Astyanax mexicanus: one gene and its partner. The protein of the gene in region 2 purifies or fractionates together with the protein of the main gene of each other region. This does not show direct contact. Links are inferred from orthologs where the notes say so. Each region holds a gene or a part of one and is shown on either strand. Other genes may lie near its edges.

What was found.
Region 1: the proteins of tepsin (region 2) and ap4s1 purify together in Homo sapiens (co-immunoprecipitation; 3 studies listed by BioGRID and IntAct, with this or other methods). This does not show direct contact. The link is inferred for Astyanax mexicanus from reciprocal best matches to the Homo sapiens genes TEPSIN and AP4S1.

Annotation. Positions count from the first base shown.
Region 1 is NC_064421.1:45,452,766-45,463,869, forward strand, and holds the start of ap4s1 (AP-4 complex subunit sigma-1), read right to left. Parts: upstream 4,592-11,104; 5' UTR 4,288-4,591; intron 3,968-4,287; coding exon of another isoform or gene 3,698-3,967; exon of another isoform or gene 3,430-3,697; intron 1,322-3,429; 5' UTR 1,287-1,321; coding exon 1,149-1,286; intron 67-1,148; coding exon 1-66. Other genes in the region: strn3 (striatin-3), read left to right, coding at 3,698-3,967. UniProt on the Homo sapiens protein: Component of the adaptor protein complex 4 (AP-4). Adaptor protein complexes are vesicle coat components involved both in vesicle formation and cargo selection. They control the vesicular transport of proteins in different trafficking pathways.
Region 2 is NC_064422.1:33,107,266-33,118,121, forward strand, and holds the start of tepsin (AP-4 complex accessory subunit Tepsin), read left to right. Parts: upstream 1-5,558; 5' UTR 5,559-5,672; coding exon 5,673-5,711; intron 5,712-6,012; coding exon 6,013-6,085; intron 6,086-6,307; coding exon 6,308-6,399; intron 6,400-6,516; coding exon 6,517-6,610; intron 6,611-6,855; coding exon 6,856-6,923; intron 6,924-7,082; coding exon 7,083-7,164; intron 7,165-7,427; coding exon 7,428-7,496; intron 7,497-7,626; coding exon 7,627-7,815; intron 7,816-7,930; coding exon 7,931-8,117; intron 8,118-8,444; coding exon 8,445-8,558; intron 8,559-8,661; coding exon 8,662-8,740; intron 8,741-8,828; coding exon 8,829-8,963; intron 8,964-9,204; coding exon 9,205-9,756; 3' UTR 9,757-10,856. Other genes in the region: ndufaf8 (NADH dehydrogenase [ubiquinone] 1 alpha subcomplex assembly factor 8), read right to left, coding at 1,432-1,452, 3,218-3,328, 4,188-4,268. UniProt on the Homo sapiens protein: Associates with the adapter-like complex 4 (AP-4) and may therefore play a role in vesicular trafficking of proteins at the trans-Golgi network.

The sequences.
Region 1 (11,104 bases), on a different chromosome or scaffold from region 2:
GACAATAAAAAGAGCTGCATACTGACGATAGACCAGTTTGTAGTCCTTATACTCCACAAATGAGCACTGAAAAAAGGAGGAAACATGACAAACAACCATGAAAAAATATAGAAATAATGAAGAACAGCATCAACAGTCAGTGAAGGAGTTTTCTTTGATCATTGTACATTTCAGTATGCCATTACACTACCACCACCATGCTTCACAGTTTCAAGATCATCCCATGTATTTGTGGCTTTTTTTTTTTTAAATATGTGGTTTTTACCAGGGCTCCATACTAACTCTGTCCCACCATCCTGGGAACAATAAAAAAATAGCACATGGGATGGAATTAAAGGTCTTGCTGGAAATCAAATCTAATCTAATCTAAACAAATGTATTTGTATAGCACTTTTCACAAGTGATGTTGTCACAAAGCATCTTTACAGAAAAGTGATCACATGACAGAGAATCAGGCAAAATAATAAACAGGGTATTTTGACATTATTACTCACGCTTAAGTTAAGTTACTTACACGTAATTACGTTTTTCACAGGAAAGGAAGTGCATATGTGGAGTTTTTACACATATAGTTGGATTGCTCTGGTCTGAAACAGTTGACAAGTTTGTAAACTTGGAGCATTTCTGAAATGTATAAGCGTAATTCCAAAGCACATCTGTATATGTAGGGTGTATATTATAGCTAATAGTTGTGGCAAATCAGGGTTAGATTATGTTTTGGCCACAAACAAACCACTCAGAGTACATGAGACTGAAGCAAAACACCTACTCCAGGGGTGCAGTTATTTTGCAATTACTGTATTCACACCTTCCCCAAAAAAAACTGAACCCAGGGTCCTTTTTAGCTCATTTTTAGTTGAAACTATAAAGTGCAGGTGTGAAAAAGTCCAGGCCTGAATGCTTGACCCCTCACAGTAAAAGTCTTTTGCCGGCAAGTTTTAAATCCATTTCACACCCTGCTCTACACATTTCTAACACATATTATATCTGGGCTGCAAGTTACTGGACAACAATTCCGTCAAGTCAAATCAAGTAGTAAACTTTAATTCATTTATGACTGGTTAGGAACAGCAGTAGGTGCCTTTGTAAAGGATTTATTTTATTAGGAAGCATTAGTTATAAACGAGACAGAAAAACGTGAGACTTACCTCCTCTTTCTTGCGAAATAAACAACCTTTGACCACATCTGCTTCCAGGGCAGCCCTCTTTCCTATGTCCACATGCTCATAGTACTTAGACAGGCGAGTCTGCCCCTGCTTATTGACCATCAACAGGAACTTGATCATGGTCAATTGGGAAGGTGGGAACACTATAAAGAACACTAGAATGAGAAAAAAAGAAAGAAAAAAAAGATTATGCAGCTAAAACTGTAACACTGTTATTGTTTTTTATAATTTTATTATTTATTATTTTTATTATGTTATTGTTTTGTCAATGCCATAATTAATACGTATTTACAGTTTTACTGTAATTGGGTTTATTTGCAAATTACGGTTATTAAGATTGTGTTACTCATACATTATCACGCATCATGTATGTGTACTGTTATAATTTATAATATTGTAAAATAAATAATAAAAAAAGTATTTTAGTAAGTCTTCGAGTTGTCCAGCAGACTAAATCACTGCCACTATGATCAGGAGATCGCCGGTTTGAATCCTGTTCCTGCAGCTTGCCGTCAGCTACCGGAGCCCTGAGAGAGTGCAATTGGCCTTGCTCTCTCTACGGTGATGTTGATCAGTACAAGGCGTCTGTGAGCTGATGTATCAGAACCGAGTCGCTGCGCTTTCCTCCAAGCAATGCTGCATCAAGGCATATGCTAGTCTTCACCCTCCTGGTGTTGGGCATCACTAGTGATAAGGGGAACCCGAATGAGTGGGTTGGGTAATTGGCCATGTAAATTGGGGAGAAAATCAGATAAAAGTGTATTTTTGTTCATAATTCAATTTTATATATATTTTTTGTTTTATTTTTGACCAGTTTCACTTAATGCTCATTAAAATTAAAAATTCAGCATCTTTTATAATTTAAGTATTGCATACGTTCACACAGAAAAACAACACTCAAATTTGTTCGTTTTAACACTCAATACATGGTTGGGACTTCTCTACCATACATTCATACCAAACTGCATCATACCATACTGCATCAGTGTGGTGTGGCATGGATGCAATCAGCTTGCTATGGCAATGGAAAGATTTTACTGAAGCCCAGTTTGCATTGGTAGTGGCCTTCTGCTCATCTGCATTGCTGTGTCGAGTGTTATTCATCTTCCTGACAGTGTCTTACAGATTCTCTATTTGGTTTAGGTCTAAAGAGTTGGCTGGCCAATCGAGCACAACAATATCATGGTCAGCAAACCATTTGCCAGTAGTTTTAGTACTGTGGTCAGGTGCCAAGTCATTCTGCTACAGGAAATCTCAATATAGCTTGTCAGCATTCGAAAGCACAAAGTGTTCTAAAACCTAAAAATACACAGTGGACCAGCATCAGCAGATGATTTGGTTGCCCAAACAATCACAGATTACGGAAATTCACACTGTACTTTGAACTTCTTGTTAAAAGAGTTGAAAGAGGTTTTTGACCACTGAGCAACAGTCCAGTTCTTTTTCTCAGTAGCCCAAATCTGAGGCTGTCTTTCAGAAGGGTTCAGGAGTGATTGACAGGTGTGGCAGGTGTAGCCCCTTTCCTCAAAACGTTGAGTGATGAAACTGGCACTCATCAGGACTGCCCCAAGAAAGGAGGACCAATAGGTACCTCTGTTGCACAGGATAAGCTCATCATAGTTAGGTTACCAGTTTAGATACCTCAGGTTTTAAACAGCACACCAGATAAGAGCCAGCTTAATGTTTTTCTCAGAGTATTTTGTAAGGTTTGTTTAACATCTTTTTTCAATAAACTTTCAATAAGATTCCTTATGTGTTCCTTCATACTCTAGAAGTAGTATTGTATGGCATATTCCGCAAAATCTGTGCCATTTCATTTCAGGTTTGGGTCTTGAAAAAAAAAAACAAATATGGCTTTGCATCTTTTAGAAAACTACAATGTGCATGCATATATAGTGATTTTTGTCATAAATATATTTTTGACCACTTAATTCAAATAATGACTTTCTTGACAGAAAATCAAATGAATTAGTTCTTACTTACTTACTTTTGAACATGCTTTTTAAATGTCATAAGTTTTGGTAACAGGACAAATAAAAATATAGTAGAGTTGAAAACAGATGAAAAAAAGTAATTTAAAATCATTCATTCTGTGGAATAGCCCTTATATATTATTCTTCGAGATTACTGTTATTATAGCTAACTGTGAGTGCTGTGAGGCGACAGCTCTCAGTCTGCGCATGCGCTCTGTCTGCGCCGCTGTGTTCTGTGTCTGGCCGGTAGAGAGCAGAGCAGGGCTGGGTGAGCTGGGTCCCGTCATGCAGCGCGAGCTGAATCCCCCTGTCGCCCGCAGTGAGGAGACTCTCATCCAGGGAGCGGACTAATGGCGGCCGGCGGAGCCGTGCGCTCACTCTGAGCCCGGAGCACACACCGCGTCCAGCGCCGCGGGCGAACCCGCAGCAGCCTGTAGCGGGGCGAGCGCTGCTTACCGAGGGCGAAGGGGGCGGGGGATCGGCGAGAGAGAGAGAGGGAGCGAGCGCGACTGTGGTCGTGCGGCGACTTGGAGCGGGACATTGCTATTTTTAAAGAAAATGGATGAACACCCCGGCGGAGGAGGAGGAGCAGCAGCAGGGGGAGGAATGGCCACCGCCAGACAGCAGCAAGCGCCGCAGCAGGGAAACCATAACGCCGTTAATCCCCAGATCGGACCCGGGGGGACGGCGCCAGCGGTCCAGCAGCAAGACGAGATGCCGCGGCCGCAGCAGTACACGATCCCGGGGATCCTGCACTACATCCAGCACGAGTGGGCCCGGTTCGAGATGGAGCGGGCGCACTGGGAAGTGGAGCGGGCCGAGCTGCAGGTAGCTATGCTATGATATGCTAAGCTAAGATAAGCTATGGATTTAGCTAGAGACTTACTGAGCTATGCGTTAAGTTAGCTTGCTAACTACCTAGCTAAACAATGTTTAAAAGGTGCCAGATCCCCTTAATTTACTACCTAGTTAAATAACATAGCTGCATAGCTAACGTACTTAGTTAGCTAGCTAACCCCTTGTTATATGGCTGGCTTGCTAGGTTATCCCCAGCTAATGCTAGCTAAGCTAATTTAACTAGCGTTTCTGGATCAGAGAAGAGACCACAGCTCACAAATACATGTCCGTCTCCTGTCTGTGCTCCTTACCTACGATGTGGGATCTTCTCCTCGCTGTGTGCGGTTCCTCTGAGCTGATACAGTTCACCCTCAGCTGTGGTAACCCGGAGGAAGCCGCTCCTCACGCAGCCCTGCTGACTTTGTCAACTAATCTCCCGTTCAGCCATTTTGTTTTGGTCATCATGGCGTCGGCGTGCTTCCAGTCTTTATGAAGCTACTTCAGCTCGTTAGCGACCCGTCCGGGGACTTCTCTCCGCGTTTACTCGATCAGAACAGAACAGACAGCTTACTCTGAGCTTTAGTTAAGCAGTGCAGTGGACTGACACAGAAATACCCCTTCAAAACCTCGGACAGATAGTGTGGAGATGAGGGGTTAACTGATCTAGCTAAAATAACTAACGTAATCTGGGTTACAGTGATTTTGCTTGTTAGCTTTAGATTTATCGTAGCTAGCCGACATACTTCATACTAGGGGTGGGAATCACTGTGTCTGAAAAGTGTGAAATAAATGCCCAGTTGATGCCTTACTGCCCACAATATATTTCACTTAGCTATAAGGCAGTTTACTAACCTATCTTGGCTAATAAAGATGTCTGTATTGAACAAAAATGGAGAAAATAGCTAGGTTAGGTGAATACATCCTGACGTTGACAAGACGTGAGGTTTTACCTGGGTTGTCATTAGCTGTTAGCTAATATTATACTAATATTCGATTTAGACATAACTGGGTTCATTTCTTCCTAAAAATACAGAAACAAAACATAGAATACAGCTTGGCAGTGCTAAAAACCCGAAAACGTCTTCATACAACGAAACTTCCAAAACAGACCTTACTAACAAAAAACTGAATTGATGGATTAAGTCTTTTCACACTTTAAACCAACTAACTAGCATTTATTACGTTTAAACAAAATAAAATACTCAAATAAGCAAACTGACTGCAGCTCTTTCAAATGTGGTATTATTCCAATGTTGTGAAATATCCATAAACTGCTATCAGTGCTGGGACATTAGTCTAATAACTGTTTCAGTAGATAGACATTTGCTTCTGTCAAAAACCTGTAAAGAACTGTGATTTTCATATTTCATACTTTTCCATAACTTAAATACAAGTAAAATTGTTTACACTGTGTTTAATATAAAAGTTATTGTGAGTAGCATGTATATTTAAAGTAATGTGTATTATTTTTTACAATTTCTCCCAGTCCTAAGTGCCATAAAGTAGAACTATTCTGCTGCTGGTAAAATGTCTGGGTAGAGCACAAATATTTTATTTTCCAAATAATATGTGTAATATAAGCTTAATTCGAACAGAAATCAAATATTGATGTTGGACCCCGCATGACAATATCCTATTGCAGATAAAAATACAATGTACCCCTGTGTTGATGTTTCATCTTACCCCTACTTCATACTCCTAGCTAGCCATACTGTTGGTTGAGAGGACTGTGTACAAACAAAAACAAGTATTAGGCTAGCTAGTTGTTTTAGGATGGGTAAAGTCTTTTCACTCTAATATTTCAGTTGTGTTCGGTTTGGTTTGAGTAGTTTGTAATATTTTATGTAGAAGTATTGGAGTGAGACCTTTTTAGAAGGGTTACAGCCAACATGCAACAACTCACTAACTATAGTTAAATTAGTTGGCCTTTATGTCCAGTAACTCAAATCCAAAACACTTTGGAAAGAAAAGTTGTACAGTTAACCCATAATGGGTAACCTAACATTAATTGTGCTAATGAGAGCTAGAAAAATATGTAATTCTAGATAGCTGCAGAGTTATTTAGACTAGTACAAATGCTAACAATTAGACAAATCTGATGTAATATGTAATATGTGAAGTTGTATTATATGTAATATAACTTTAGATATTCAGGTTCTGACTAGTGTTACTACTATTATTGCAATCTCAATTTTATTGCAATCTCTAATCTGAATTACTGTGTAGATATCTGGAACTACAGTTTCTAGAAGTAAAAATGTAGCTGTGGGACCCGTAACTGTGGCTTTTACTAGTAAAATGGAATTATAGTTAAGAGAAAGGGAGAGAACTCAATGGTAAAACAGTGGTGGCATGTAACTAGTCCAGATTAAATCAAGCATATATGTCTTGTCATTATGTTTTATTAAAAATAATTTATAGATCTCTAGCTCTTATATAACCAGTGGAATATGATTTTAAGTTAAGTTAGACCTTACTGGTGTGATTTCAGACTAAAATGACTATATGCGACACAAATTCGCTTCTCCTCACTTACTGGAGACACATTGCGGCTACAGTGCAGCCTTGTCTGCCTCTCTGTGAAAGTTAAAAGTGGATGTTCAGAGTTTTGTGAATGTGATGTATGAAAAGGTGCTGAAGGCTTGTGACAGGAGGTTATGATGTTGTGCAATGTGTGCACAGTACACAGCTCTGTGGGATCAAGTTGAGGAGGATGTGTTGTTGTCACCGCTTCTGTGTGGACTTGTTCTCTGACACATACTTTCAGGATGACGCCTGTTCTAGCGTACCATGGGTCTATAGAGCTCTATTAGGTTTGGGACATATTTGCCTATAGAGTGTTCTGTGTGCTTAGTACTCCAATAACGCGTGGTGAATGACCTAAATAAATATAAATATAAAATTTAAAAGTAAGAGGCCAACTAAGGGTTACGATTTACTGTTAAATGTGACTGGAAGTCTTGTGCACAGCAAGGTGTATGTGTGTGTTTAAGAGAGAAGACAACACAGCCCTAATGGATTGTAGCTACCCTAATATTAATCAAATCAAATTTATTTGTATAGCGCTTTTTACAACAGGTGTTGGCACAAAGCAGCTTTACAGAAACATGATTACAGGACAAAGAATCAGGCAAAACATTAAACATAGAAAATACAGAATACAGAACCCCCAGTGAGCGCGGAGGCAAGGAAAAACTCCCTCAGAGCTGCAGGAGGAGGAAGAAACCTTGGGAGGACCAAGACTCACATTTGAGGGGGGACCATCCTACCACTGGTCAAACGGCTTTTAAATTAAAATTTAAAAAGTCTTAACACAATTTTAATATTAACACAATGGCTGGCTCAATGTCAGGCACTGTTCTGTAAAGATCTTACAGGGCTGTTCATTTCACAGAAGAGGCAGAGCTGTTAGTAGAGACCTCCTTAGAAGGCACATCAGCGCTTCTTCTCACTTGTTATTTGGGTTAGATCAGGGTTTGTAGGTCATGGCAGCAAAATGCTCTTCTGAATCTTCTGTCATGACCTATGAGACAAAATTATCCCAGTCAAATTCTCAGGTTTAAGCTTTATTTTGAATGTAGTAAATGCTATTATTTAACCATTTGCAAAATAAAAAGCTTTCTGCTTTGGTACAAGGTGACTGATAAACAGTGATCCATCATAAGAAATGTACTCAATAAAATATTGAAAAGGAGATATACTTATTTTTTTGTATTGAATATATTTGGCTCAATATTCAATAAAAGCTAGTCTAATGCTGACCTTACTCCTAACGACGCAGACAAATTTCCAGAGTTGGGAAAATAATTTTGAGTCGCGCTAGAGTGGATCTGCTGTTGCCTCATCTCGATCATTCGGTGTAAGGTGGTTAAATTAAAGGTTTAAGTCAGTATTTTTCTCGTCCTGGCGTTCAGATAAAATCAGCAGTGTTTAAAATTATCATAAGTATTTCAAAATATGTTTACAAACAATTTGAAAGAACACATTTTGCAGTTATTGTGCCGTATATGGTAGAGTCTATATACAGTATTTTAAACACAGGTAGCACTTTAGACATTATATTTAAAGTGATTTTATTTTGCACTACTTTGTCTTATTGTGCAGTGTTATTTTTTATATGAAGTTTAATAAATACACATTTTGCAAGAATTATTTTTTTATCGCATTAATTCTATTTAAATCAAAGGCAGATGTATAGCAGTGAAACTGTGATTCTTTGCTATACAAGGTTGTAGCAAAAAAAAGGGGTAAAAGAAGCTTACAAGCAGAATTGAACACAAAATGTATTCTGTTAAATATCAAGAACTAACAGTGTGACAAAAATAGACTGTTGTTGGGAACAAAAGTTGTAAATCACAGTATTGATAAACACATTATTTGTAACTTAATATGTTTTATGTATTGTATGTAAACTCCACCAAAAGCAAAGAAAGAATTGAGTTGCCGTCTTGCAAATAGTGATCCCCAGTTTAGACAAAATCATGTGACTCGTCTGTGAGTAAAAAGTCTGTAACTTGTGTTTAGGTGTGAGAGGGTGTCAGATTTTTTTGTCTGTTAAAAGTCTTTTTTTATAGTATTTTCAAAGTCAAGTAGTGTATGGGTAGCATAATGCTGTATGGCATTATAAAAATGCAGGATGTTTAATTGTGTATTGGTTCAGTCAATTCATGAAACAACTCTATTTAATATTGGTGGCAATAAGAGACAAAAAAAAATCAGTAATCATAGTTTGAAACGTATTGTTGTGAAACTTCAATGGCACATTTGCACACAATTTCCCACTCATCCTTACTGATGAATTTTTAATGTTGAAAATTTCAGTGACGCAGCCTGCCAAAGGCTGCCAAATGCTGATGGGCTAGCATGAATAAATTAGGACTAGCTCACTAAGATTTTAACAGCCTACAAGGCTTTTTTTGCTTTTCAAACTGGTTGGATATTGAGGAGTGAAAATGAAAGGTTAAGCAATGGGTTTCCAGCCTGTGAATTCAGTGGGTTGCCTACAAACTTTTAACTCGAGTAGATTTACAGAAAATCTTGGTTCATCCTGTTGTAAGTGCTGCTAGTTTTCTTGTAGAAATAATAAAATGTATGCACCACATTTGAGGTGTAGAACCTTATTCCCTGTAATATATCAGTATTGGTTCCTCTCAATTGATGTTTATTCAGTGATGTGACACATGCAGAGCTAGAAATATTTATATTTATTTATTTATTTTTTATAGGTAGCTCACACAAATGTGCAGAACATGGCATTCCCAGGACTAGTATGATTAGCACTTGTTGAGGAAGACTTAAATGCTTAAAATAGAATGTGCTTTAACGAACATACTATATATAACAGTGATGCTATATCCAGCCATGGTTTCAGTACACAGTAGGAATGTAATAATGCAGTGACAATGGCGTGACAATGCATTGAGATAATCCACTACCTGCATTTCAAGTCTAAAGAAAAACATTCTAAAAAAAACTTGGGATAGTAAACTCACTATTTCAGAGCAAGACATTTTTTGTAAAGAGAATTCCAAGCAATTCATTGTTTTGGGTGTCTTTTGAGGGAAAAGACAGGAATGCAGGCAGGCCAATAATAGAAACCTTTTATTTCTCAGTCACGCCTTTGTAATGTGTCCAGCTGGTGGTTTTACATTATCTTGTTGAAAAATGTATGAACATTCCTGGAGAAGGCATCTTGTCACTGATGTGCCAGAAAGCTTAGAGTGGCAACATGTAGCTGCTAGCTTCATCAGACTTCATAAAATTTAATGGTGATCTTAGCATTTTTGATATAAATTGTGGTAAAAGGCAATAAAGAAAATGACACTATGTAAAAGTGTTTTGTTACCTGTAAGATACAGATGACTTTAAGGCAATGTGATTCCAGTTTCAGAATGCTATGATACTGATATAATGTTGGGTTAAGCTGTTTTACAGGAAAGGAATACACTATTTTTCTAGAAGATTTTTACTCTGTTAGGGCGTTTTCACACCAGCACTGTTTGGTCTGATTAAAACGGACTTCGGTTCATTTGTACTTTTAGTGTCGTTCATTTTAGCAGGTGTGAATACTAATAATTGCACTCAGGTACAGATCAAAACAACTGGACTGAGACCTGCTAGAGGAGGTGGTCTCGGTCCAGTTCCAAATGAAGAGTGACCCAGCTTACCGCATAGGTTGTGCACGACTACAAAGAGGTTTTATTTAGGTTCAGATTAAAATTATAAACTAAACACATACTTTGCGCTGCACAGCGGGGTGGTGTTCTCGGAGATGGGAGAACAGGTTTGACGTATGTCCATCTTTAGCTGTGACTTTACAGCCACATAGTTGCTGAGTGTAAACATGCTGGTTGGGTCCAGCTGGTCACATTTGCTTTTGTTGGTGCACGTCTTGCTGGCGCATCTGTGACCAAGGCAGCAAGACTTTGTGATGTATCAAGAGCCACGGTATCCAGGGTAATGTCAGCATACCACCAAGAAGGACCAACCACATCCAACAGGATTAACTGTGGAAATCGGATAGCCATCCTCGGGTGCGTTCGGCGGGTATCCGAAATAGTCCCACACTGCTGATTTTAGTTTTTTTAGGCGGACGGAGATTTGTTTAGTCTGATGCACTTTCTGCTGTTCTCACCGCTGTATGCTGAGCAGCTGAAGCGGAGCAGAGTTGCGCATGCGCGGGTGAGTTTCTCTGCTGGCTTGCGTTTTACCGGTAATAAGCAAACACACACTGTATGATAACCGTGCATTTTAATACCATGGTATACCGTGAAACCGGATACCGCTGCAACCCTATGTCCCACTAATGAACTTTTCCTTCTAAGTCATTTATATGCACTTATATGGACAAAAGTATTGGGACAAGACAAGCTTTTTGTGTGCATTTGCACACCCCTGTTAAATAGGGCTCTTTCACACCTTCCTTGTTTTGTCTTCTCCATTTGTTCCAAACCAAAATAACAGGTGTAAAAGTTGCCGCAAACCACTGCCCGGGTCAACTTGACTAGTTTGTGTGCAGCGTAAATAAAAGCACTTTTTCCGGCAGGGAGGCAGAATTCTACACAACACCTGAAAGGGCAACAGTCCACTAAATCCATATCCGAACGGGATTAGTTTCTCAGGTGGTCC
Region 2 (10,856 bases):
AGGACAATGTTGGGTCAGACAATAACCAGGTTTCTACTTTACAACCAGCCAATAATCTCACAGACAGATGTTTCCAAAATCAATGAATATTTCTATGTTTAGAGTTTTACAGCCCTGAATTCATGGACCTAAAGCAGTACTAAACTGTCCAACTCTCTATTGTTAGATCCTAATATATGTCTATATTTAATAATAATAAATTAATAATAAAATATAAATATATTGTAAAACAGACAAAAACTTATATGTAATGGATTATCTTTCAAGAGAAACTGAAAAAAAAATGAAATGATTTCCAAATGAAGACCATACTCAAGAAAATTCAAAGGCTCTACCATTAAGGCTAATGGCCAAGTTTGGCAGAACAAGAGCACTTCCAGTGGGCCAGACTCTTTTAATTAACACCTTGTAGTGCACTAAAAAAAGTGTGAAGCACCACCACATAAAGACAAGCCACAAACAGTGCCTGAGTCAGAGTAGAGTGAGGTTAAGACGAATTTCCATGCGTTTTTTTTTTTTTCTATAGAGATACCTCAAGCAGAGTTCCACAGCTCTCCAAGCCGTTGGCTGCAAACATTTATATACTCAAGCCTTTTACCCATTCTCTAATTGGCTGTTTGGATTGTATGTTGATCCCAAGTCATTACTGACTTGCCTTTATGGCCACTCCATCAATTAACATCTGGCTAACAAGGGTGTGGGTTCTCCAGCAGGGCGTCAATAATACTGGTGCAGCTTGCATTTCCATATGTGGTAAGCTGAAGTGCATAAGCTTTTGGGGTGCCAGTGACATGAAACCCATGGCAAAGCATTAATCAGCTTGCCTTTTTTTATGTTCATCTCCTGCTCTGACTGAGCTACGACCAGTTCTTCAAAGCTATGTCTTTTAATGTATCCCTTAAAAAACAGATCCAAGAGCAGCAATTAAAGCCGGACGGTGCCACCCTTAGAGCCGTAACACACCTCATTACTCATCCTGCCTGTTTCAGTTTCTACATGCAGCCAGTTACCCCCGCCGTCTCTCTGTCTAAAACAAATGAACAGTCTGGTTATGGTTAGTTCAATTCTTTCATCCATATCTTCCTCTAATCTATTTAATTAAGCAGTGGGGCTGTCAGAATTACTGGCCCATGCTTCTCTGTGGCAGAGTTTAAATTAACCACGCGGTCCATTTCCTTACTATTCACATTCATTCTTTATTATTACTCATGCTCACACAAAACCAAGTGTCATACAATTCATTTATGTTTTATACACGAGGACAATACAAATATATGCTGAACCAACATATATTATTCAAATATTAAAAATAATGTCACTATTTATACTGGTAAATAAAAATGGCAGCAACTGTTTTTTTATATTGTAACTATACAAATAAATGTATGTTTATAAAACATGATGGTCAATGAATGGCTTTGTGCACTCCATCTACTTCACACCCCGTTTTGCCTGCAAAGAAAAATACATTAAGTTAATTAAGAATAAATATTAAAACAATTTAGATATTAAGGTCAGAGAACACATACTATACAAATACAAACAAACTTAAACTTTTAGTTTGCTTAAAGTAACGACAAATAAGAGTGAAAATCCTAAGGGCTTCAAAAACTACCGGTATACACATATATAAGAACACATCATGTACTTCTGTGTTCATATCCATCCAAATGATGCACTCTTCTCTTAATATATACAAATCCAACAGGTGGTTTATTTTATCCAAACTACATAATTTAAGAAGTGAGAAGGGTGGTGTGAAAATTTATTTAGTTTGAAATATGAATGTCTGAATCTGCACCTAAAACAATGACAGCAAAAAAATCCTTCTTGTTGATTGTTCCGCAAAAAAATTGATTTATATAACACCAAAAAGGTCACGCTGTTAAATCTAAGACATTTTTAGTTTCTGTATACAGTTACATTAATATACCACAAGTAACGGGACAGAATAGTATCATGTCTCATGATTTTTGCCATTTGCCATGGAAGATAAAAAAGAAAACCTTCACTGAAATGCAGGATATGCATCTGGGCCCTTCTGTTTCAAATGGCATTTGATTTTCATAAGAACAATTTTTAAAAAGCATAATTTCAAATATTACAATTCAGAGTAAGGACTTTTTGTTTAATTTGCTAATTAATGCCAATCTCTTAATGTTTTCCATTTTATTTAATGTTGTATGAGTTTCAGTACTGACAGACGTTAGTCTAAATCAAATCATGTTCTGTTGTATTCCCATTATATTAAATGTTCCCCACAATTTGACACGTTTGCTGTTATTATACAGTTTGGACACACCTTCTCATTCAATGTTCTTTATTTCTTTATTTATTTTCTACACTGTAGATAAATAGAAAAGACAAAAATAATTAAGGGACAAATATGGATTTACGTAGTAAACAAAAAAAAATCCCCTGACCTAAACCCAACTGAGATTGGGTGATTTGGGATGAGCCGAAGCTTTACAGCGTGACGGAGTAGCAGCGACTATTGTTCAGCTGCTGCTTCAGCACCTTCAGGAACTCCTTTGAGAGGTTGAGAAAACTATTCCACGTGACTCTACATCATGAAGACACTGAGATTAAAATACCCATTTGTGTGTGCAGATCTGTCCCCAAAGATAAATGTGGCCATTTAGAAGAATCATTCCACATGTGTTCCTGAAAAGCTTTAATGTATTCATTATTAAATGTACAATATAAAAAAATATATACATATATATATATATAAAAAAAAGAAAACACACTTAATGAAAAGAAGACCAAACATTTGACAGGTACTGTATACAATAAAACATATTGTAATTCACTGCCTGGCCAAAAAAAAGTCGCCACCAAAAAAAAGGTCACACACTCTAATGTTTCGTTGGAACGCCTTTAGCTTTGATTGCAGCTTGCATTCACTGTGGCATTGTTTCAATAAGCTTGTCATAAGATTTATTTAAATCCAGTGCTGCATTAATTTTTCACCAAGATCTTGCAGGATTGATGATTGTCATGATGCCATCATGGAAGAAAAAAATCCACTGATGGAATAACCGGGTCTATATTCAGTATATTCAGGTAGTCAGCTGACCTCATTCTTCATACTGTTGCTGAATCTAGACCTGACTAACTGCAGCATCAACCCCACATCATTTACTTAGTTAAATCCAGGTGCCGACTTTTTTTTTTTTTGGCCGGGCAGTGTGCTAATGGTTTTAGGTTTACTCACAGCAGAGACAAAGCAGGTCTTCAGGGCTTCAAACTCTTTTACACATAAATCTTTCTTCAGCTCCTGTTTACCAGTAGTAGTGGAGACCACACATTTCCCATAAACTGCTGCCTGTAGGAAAAAGAGTCAGAGAACAGTTAATCAGCTGTCTGTAAATCATTTAGTTTACAGCTGCTGTTAAAATGTTATCGAAAGTCTTGAGACTCGGCTCTCGCAAATAGTGATGTGAACGATGTCATCAACCAATAGGAGATCTACGGGAAGCCGCAGGTCAAGAATATTTGAATATATGACTGTTTACAAACGATTTGAAAGAGAACACAGTTTTCAGTTAATAAGCCTTTTATGTTTCTTTTTCTCTTCTTCTTTCTAGGTAACGTTAGCACTTTAAAGTCATTATATTTAAAGTTATTTTATTTTGCACTACGTTATCTTATTGTGTAGTGTTATTTCTGATACAAACAAATGTAATAAATACACATTTTGCAAGAATGATGTTCTTTATTGCACTAATTCTATCTAAAACAAAGACAAATGTACAGCAGTGAAACTGTGATTCTTTGCTATACAAGGTTGTAGCAAAAAAGGGGGTGGGAAAAAGATGCTTATAAGCAGAGTTGAACACAAAATATATTAAAAAACAAAAGTTGTCAGTCTCTGATAAATCACAGTATTGATATACATATTATTTGTAACTCAGGATGTTATATTCATTGTATGTAAACTCAACCAGAAGCATGATGGGAAATAATCTCAGGAAGAATCTAGTTGCAGTCTTGCAAATAGTGACCCCCAGTCTTTGCAAAATCTTAGTCTGTGAGTAAAAAGTCTGTGACTAGTCTTTAGATGTGAGAGGGTGTCAGACTTTAGTCTGTTAAGCCTTTTCAGAGTCTTTTCAAAGTCATGTAGGACCAGAGGAACAGCAGATGAACACAGCATTGGACAGGTATGGGCACCATCATACAGGTACCTCTGTGAAGCACTGGGCCAGCAGGTCGGGGAACCGCCTCATCCTCTCTCGGCTCCGGGTCCAGGGGTTTGTCCCTGACATGATTCTGATCAGCTTTAAGTCTCAGCACAACCCACAGTTATTAACATTAGCTCACAGGCAGGCTAACTCCTGCACACAGAGAGAGATAACACACATTTAACAGTAAAATACCGCGCTGTTTTACACTGTTTAACAATATACATCAATTACCCATAAACTCCAACACTCAGCTTTAACACTCTGATCAAAAACACATGATTAAATCATATTACTGACAGAAAACAACAGCAGGCACTACTCACCCCGTGCTCACCATGTTAGTGACGAAGAAACGGCCCGCCCTCTCACACCAGTGATTGGTCAAACATCTGTATGACCCGCCCCCTAAAATTGACTATCTTTGCTGATTGGCTACTAAAGACATTTCAGTAAAACAGATGAACCAATGAATCATTAGGGCTTGTGCGGCAAGGTCGTGACAGAACGTTGTAGTACTGAAGAGCGTGATTCAAATTCCAGAATCGATTCTTTTGAACTGTCGTGTTCAATGAATCGACTCTGCTTTTAAATATTACATTTTGACAGCATAGTTGTTTAAATACCTAATCATAAAAGACTACCTAAGAAAAATAAAAATAAGAGACCACCTAAAAATTAGGCATAATGTTATCCAAAAGCAGAGTGTAAGACTGGTGGAGGTGCATGAAAACTGTGGTTGAAAGCCAGGGTTATTCCACCAAATATTAATTTCTGAACTCTTTTGTATAATTTAGGCATTTTAATTATTTAATTAGCTACTTTAATTAAAAAAAATAAGATATTTAAACGTATCCATAATTTTTCTGTTCACCCTGTCATCCTGGGATGAATGCCCATTTTAGAAAGTAATCTTTAAACATCAGTGGCATCAGAATCAGAAGGACTGATGACACTTTCTTTATGTTCAGTAACATTCAGTAATGTTAGGCATTCTTAAACATTTTTCACAACTGTTCCATAACTTAACCCTTTTAACAGATATACATCTATTTTTTAAAATGAATTAATCTAATTAATCTAAATTAATCTGCACACTGAAAGAAAAGCATGGCAGCATCACAGCTAATGAGGCAAAATATTTTTTTCCTATCATGTATTTGGTTTTACTCCACAGGAATGATTTGCAAAATAAAAGAAGGTGTTTAAAAGTTATATAGGATAAAAATAATGTTAAACTAATTATTTTTTATTAGTTACTTTATTTATTATTTTATTTACAAAATAATTAACTTGTTTGTGAGTGCATTACATTACAAACAGAAACAGCATTTTCTTTCATTACTGGAACATAATTCAGGTCTGAACGGGTTAAGAATCGGTTCGAGGTGTTCACTAACAGATGCAGTGATTCGCTAAGTGCACGGTCATCCACCAAGTCACGCACAGCAATGGTACACAGAGCGGTGGACTGCTCATCGGAACGAGATGGCTACACTAATGGAAAGGCTGACTTTCCTTCAGAAAGTAGGTATCAGACACGGCATTTTGTGTGGGAGACCAGCGAGCAAAGATATCTGCTATCTGGATTTTACTCTGGAGTGTTTAGCTACAGTGTGATAGCCGCAGCTAACTGGCTAACTAGCTAACGCTAGCAAACTCCCGTAGAGTTACACAGCAGGGTTAGCTAGCCTGTTAGCTGTCAGAGGATTCTGACATTTATATTTATACTATATTTATATTTTACCCCCTATTTTACTCTTGCTTTCAGCTGGTTTTGCTGAGCGCCGCAGTCTCTAACCCTGTCTTCTCCCTGACTGCTGTTTAGGTGCCGACCCTCATGAAGGCAACAGCAGATGACGAAGTGCCCTGCCCCGGCTACCTCTTCCAGGACATCAACAGTATCCTTCTCCCAGCAGCTTTCACTCTCATTACAACACATTACCCACACAGCTCTGGAAAAAATTAAGAGACCACTTTAGTTTCTAAATCAGATTCTCTTATTTTGCTGTTTTATAGATATATGTTTGAGTACAATGAACATTGTTGTTTTGAACACAACTTGAACACAAAATGAACACAACTGTTCTCCATCAAATTCCTTCACTCACTTCAAATCATAGAAATCTCACATGAGTCATTGGGCTGCTGCCAGTGTCTTCTGGAGTACCTCCTGGAGCGTCTGCAGGTGGAGTCCTGCCATGTGAAACTGAAGGTGAGAGAAACTCAAGCACAAACCTCCATTTGTATCGTAGAGGAGGGAAATGAGGAGTTGATTAAATGTGATTGTCTGTTTCTTTGAGATTTCTCACCCCTCATTTCTCTGTCCAAGGTTCTGAAGATCCTCCTGCATCTGTGTGGACATGGTCCTCCTCACTTTCTCACAGAACTGAGGCGGAATGCTACATTCATCCAAGAAGTAACTGGTAATTAGTGTTTTCTTTTTCATATATTATACGACAAAACGATATTGTAATTATTGCAACAGACCTAGATCCTTTGAATAAAATGGACACTGTACTTGGATATGGTTACTTTATTTACACACATATAGAGTACTTTAAACCCTTATTTTTTGGAGTAGACGTACAAAAGTACCAGCCTAACTTACCGGTACACAACATTTTCACCCATTTCTTAAAGCAGACTGACATGTTGTGTGGTCTCTCAGTTTACAGTGGTCCACCAGATCCCATTCATGGCAATGCTCCCTTTCAAAGGGTCAGGGTTGCAGCGCAGGTGAGATGTGTGTCTTTCTCTGTTAAATACTGAGGTTGTCAAACCTGAGATTTTGTAATTATCTGTTTCTTCCTTTGCCTTATAATATTAACAGTTTATCTGACACATTTAATTTTTAAATGAACAAAGATTTAATGTTTGATTGTGGCTATTTTATAGGAACTGGCCGGTGTGCTGTTTAATGATACAATGTCTGCAAACTCTGGACTCTCGCCATGCAAAGCTGCAACTCCAAGCCTGGGTAAGGGAGCTTTCTTGATGGAAATGTTAAGTTTCTTTTTTTATGGAAAAATGCTGTTTATGTGATGATACCCATGAAAAAAGTTGTGAAGGATTCTGTATTGTCCAACATTTGTGCATGTGTATTTGTTAAGCACGATTCTTATCATTGTCAACTGACTGTTTATTTACTGATAATAACAGCTAATTAAAGAATTTAAGCATAAAGATATTTTCTGTAGCCACAATCTGTGTAATATTCTGTTATTTTATTTTGTTCGGCAGGAATGGGATCAGAATCTCTCCGCTCAGGAATGCAGGGATTTGGAAACAGCCCTGGAAGGAAAACATCCAGTAAGAGAGTAATTTTCACTTTACCAAAACGAACTGTGATTTTTTTTTACAGCAATTAAATGCCTGCATTAAATTATGTAGCTCCATGTATCTGTCCTCATCCTCCATATATACAATATCTCTTCCCAAGACAGAGCGACTCTTCTGGGTAAAATTCAGAAGGCTGCAGAGGTAGTTGCCAGTGCTGTCCTTCCACCAACAGAGCAGCCTGGGATTCGTCTATATGACAACCACTATCGGGCAGTGGTTGCTCCCTCTGCTGCAGTGGAGGTGGCAATGCCAGCATGTGCTTACAGTGTGCCCACTCACAGCCACAAAGGTTAGCTGTGCACACACAGACCCTCATAACAGCTCTTCGTCCAAGCTATGGATTCTGGATTCTGTTTATATACGGGAGTTTTGTTCATCATTAAAATCAAATTCCTTATTTCTAGCTTCTCACAGATGTCCAGGACAGGCAGGTGGAGGTTGGGAGGAGACTGGTAGTGGGCACAGCTCCTCTCACAACTCTTCTCTTGAGATTGAGCCACTTAGCCACACTTCCAGGGGGGACAGCAGCAAATCCGGTGAAACAGGCAGCCATTCGGGGGCCAGTCGAGAGAGTGGAGACTTGGCAGAACGGTAAGGGATCTCATTAGTCTGCTTGAAACTTTTTTCCCCACTTTGTGGTTCTGTGAATAAAGAGCTTGAGGGAAAGTTGTCTGAATTCATGAACACAAGACTAGTGTTCATGTTATGGACACAATTTAACTCTAGAAGTAATAATAAAATGCACATTTATTTATAGCATGTTATGAAGAATTAGTATTTTTTCTAAAATGTTCATGGGTGAAACCTAAAAGCTTAGTTATAAGCTTTTATTTATATTTTACATAGAATTTATTTATTAATGCATGTAGGATCTGTGAGTGAATAGCCCACTGTAAAGGTAAATATTTTCTCTCTCAGTGTGGAGGCCATGCAGTTGGGAGACTGTGGTCAGGAGATGGCGCTGATCAGCAGTCTTACTAATGGTTCCAAAATCTTCCTGTCCAGAGATGAGAGCCAGCACTTCATTAAAGAGTAAGCATTTGTATATTGAGGCTGTATCCCAATAAAAGTATAAAAAATACTTGTTGGCAGTAAAGTCAGATTAATTAACTGTTTCTTTGTCCTGCTTCTCTAGGTGTTCTACTTTAAACTGTGAAGTTGTGGTAGAACTTCTCTCTCACAAATTGAAGGAAACAGCACAGACTGTCCAAATGGTACATTTATTTATTCTTTAGTATTTGCTATCTCATGTCTCTGTTTGGCAAAGCAACTGATAAAGCAAGTTCTTTCTCCTCTCCGCAGAGGGCCCTGTGTGGCCTGGCCTGCCTGATGTCTACAGATCTCCTCTCTCTGGACCAGATATTCTGTGTTACACATAAGCGCCTGGCCCAGCTCAGTGAGGAAGTGGAAGGACCTGTAGCCAACAAGTCAACAAAGGTTAAATAAATTGCTTTAAATCTTTGTATCTTTAGTGATAGCAGTGGGTGTACAATTCAGATCAGGAAAATAAAAATCCTTCCTAGAATTTTGCTCCCATTTCCTGGAAAGCTGTGCTGCAGCTCAGTCGGGAAGGATTTTTACTTTCTGGACCTGATTTCTCCACCACTGAGCAACAGCTGTTTATACTAGTATTGTATGTATTATTGAATATATTTTATCTCTCTTATGTACTGTATAGCTCCTTAGACAGTTTGAGGCACTCCTGGGCAGCTCCACGCCCCTGATGAAGACTGGCATTGCAGTCTGTCCAGAATCATCCAGCCCCTCGCTCTCAAAGCAGCCATTAAATCCCACCATTGTCAGCCCACTTCTTCTCCCAACTACTCTGGATGTTGAAGCACCTTCTAGCATGTCATCCACAAATTTCCCACATGCTCTTTCTTCTGAACATGGTCTAAAACAAGAGCATACTGTGACTGCTGCTGCTGTGGGAGAATCTGCTGAGAATGGAGTGCAGGTAGAGGACCCGCAGACTGTACATGAGGATGAGGACAAATACACAGAGCCCGCTAGACACCATCCTACTCTCTCACTGTTTAGTGGGATGGAGCTGGTAAACAGAGGGAAGCCTGTGTGTCTGGTTGAGCCTGTTCTTGTCGAGCCAGATGTCCAGACTGGGGCAGAAGGCTACACAGGCTTTGCTGTGGAGAAAAGCTCAGAAAGAACTGCAGACTCCTCTTTATCTACTAGTGGTGAACAAATCTCTGCCTTTTCCTTCGTCAACCTCTGATCTTCCTTTGCCTTCTGATTGAAACACCTTGGTCCAGGGTGTAGTATTATTTAATGACCTAAAAGTAATATTTAAACACCAAACCCCTCAATGCTCCTGATGCCAGCCTTTGTTATTTTAAACTAATTCTGAAAAATATTAAATGAACAAGTCTGCAGTATGCTAATTTTCAGGGAGGAACACGGGAGGTACACCTGAGGCATTGGTGCATGAAGTAATAAACAAAAAAAAAAAACACTTAATATTTATGTATCCAAATGCTGCTAGTTTTTTTTTTTCCAGGGACTGTGCTTGACAAGTATAACAATGCTGACACAATACACTTTTTAAAATGAATTTTATTGTTTTAATACCCACAAATTCACTGAATATCTCTGCTCTGGAAATAAGCAGAACAGTTAAAAAGGGAAAGCTGTAACGTTTCACTGCCCAAGATTTTTAATCTGCATTTTCACTTGGTCTGGCTACCTAAATATGGCTTAGTGTGTGTAGTTGAACTGTTAAGAAAGCCTTGTGTGTGCTGGGAGTTCTGCCCTAATTAGCAGACTTGGTTCCAAAATGAAAAACTGTAAAGAGATCTAATCTCTGCTCTGTCATGATATACATGACTTGTGTGTGTGTGTGTGTATACCATGAACAAGCCTGTCTCAGGACTACTGTAAGCATTAAGCATTGAATTTTGCACTATGGAGCACCTGTGTCTTCCAACCTTACTTACATGAACAAATAACACAAGCATTACAACCTTAAGCTGATATTTAATGGATTGCCTAAATTACCAAGATATATTTTTTATAGAGACATAAAACATTCTCTTTGATTTAATCATCCATACTTTTAAAGTTGTTCTTTTAGTTTAGAAGGAATGCTATATATAACAACTGAGAGAATAGATTTAATGAATATACTAATTTTCTTATTACTTTTATACTTTAGGTGCTTTCAAAGTGACAGTTTATTTGCTCTGCTTTGAATCAGTTATAATTGGAATGCTTTGGTTTGTTTCACACATGGAAAAATCCATGGACACCAAAATCAATATTTTTGAACTTTTTAACATGGTACAAAAGCAGAGATGGCATTTGTTTATAACTGTAGTA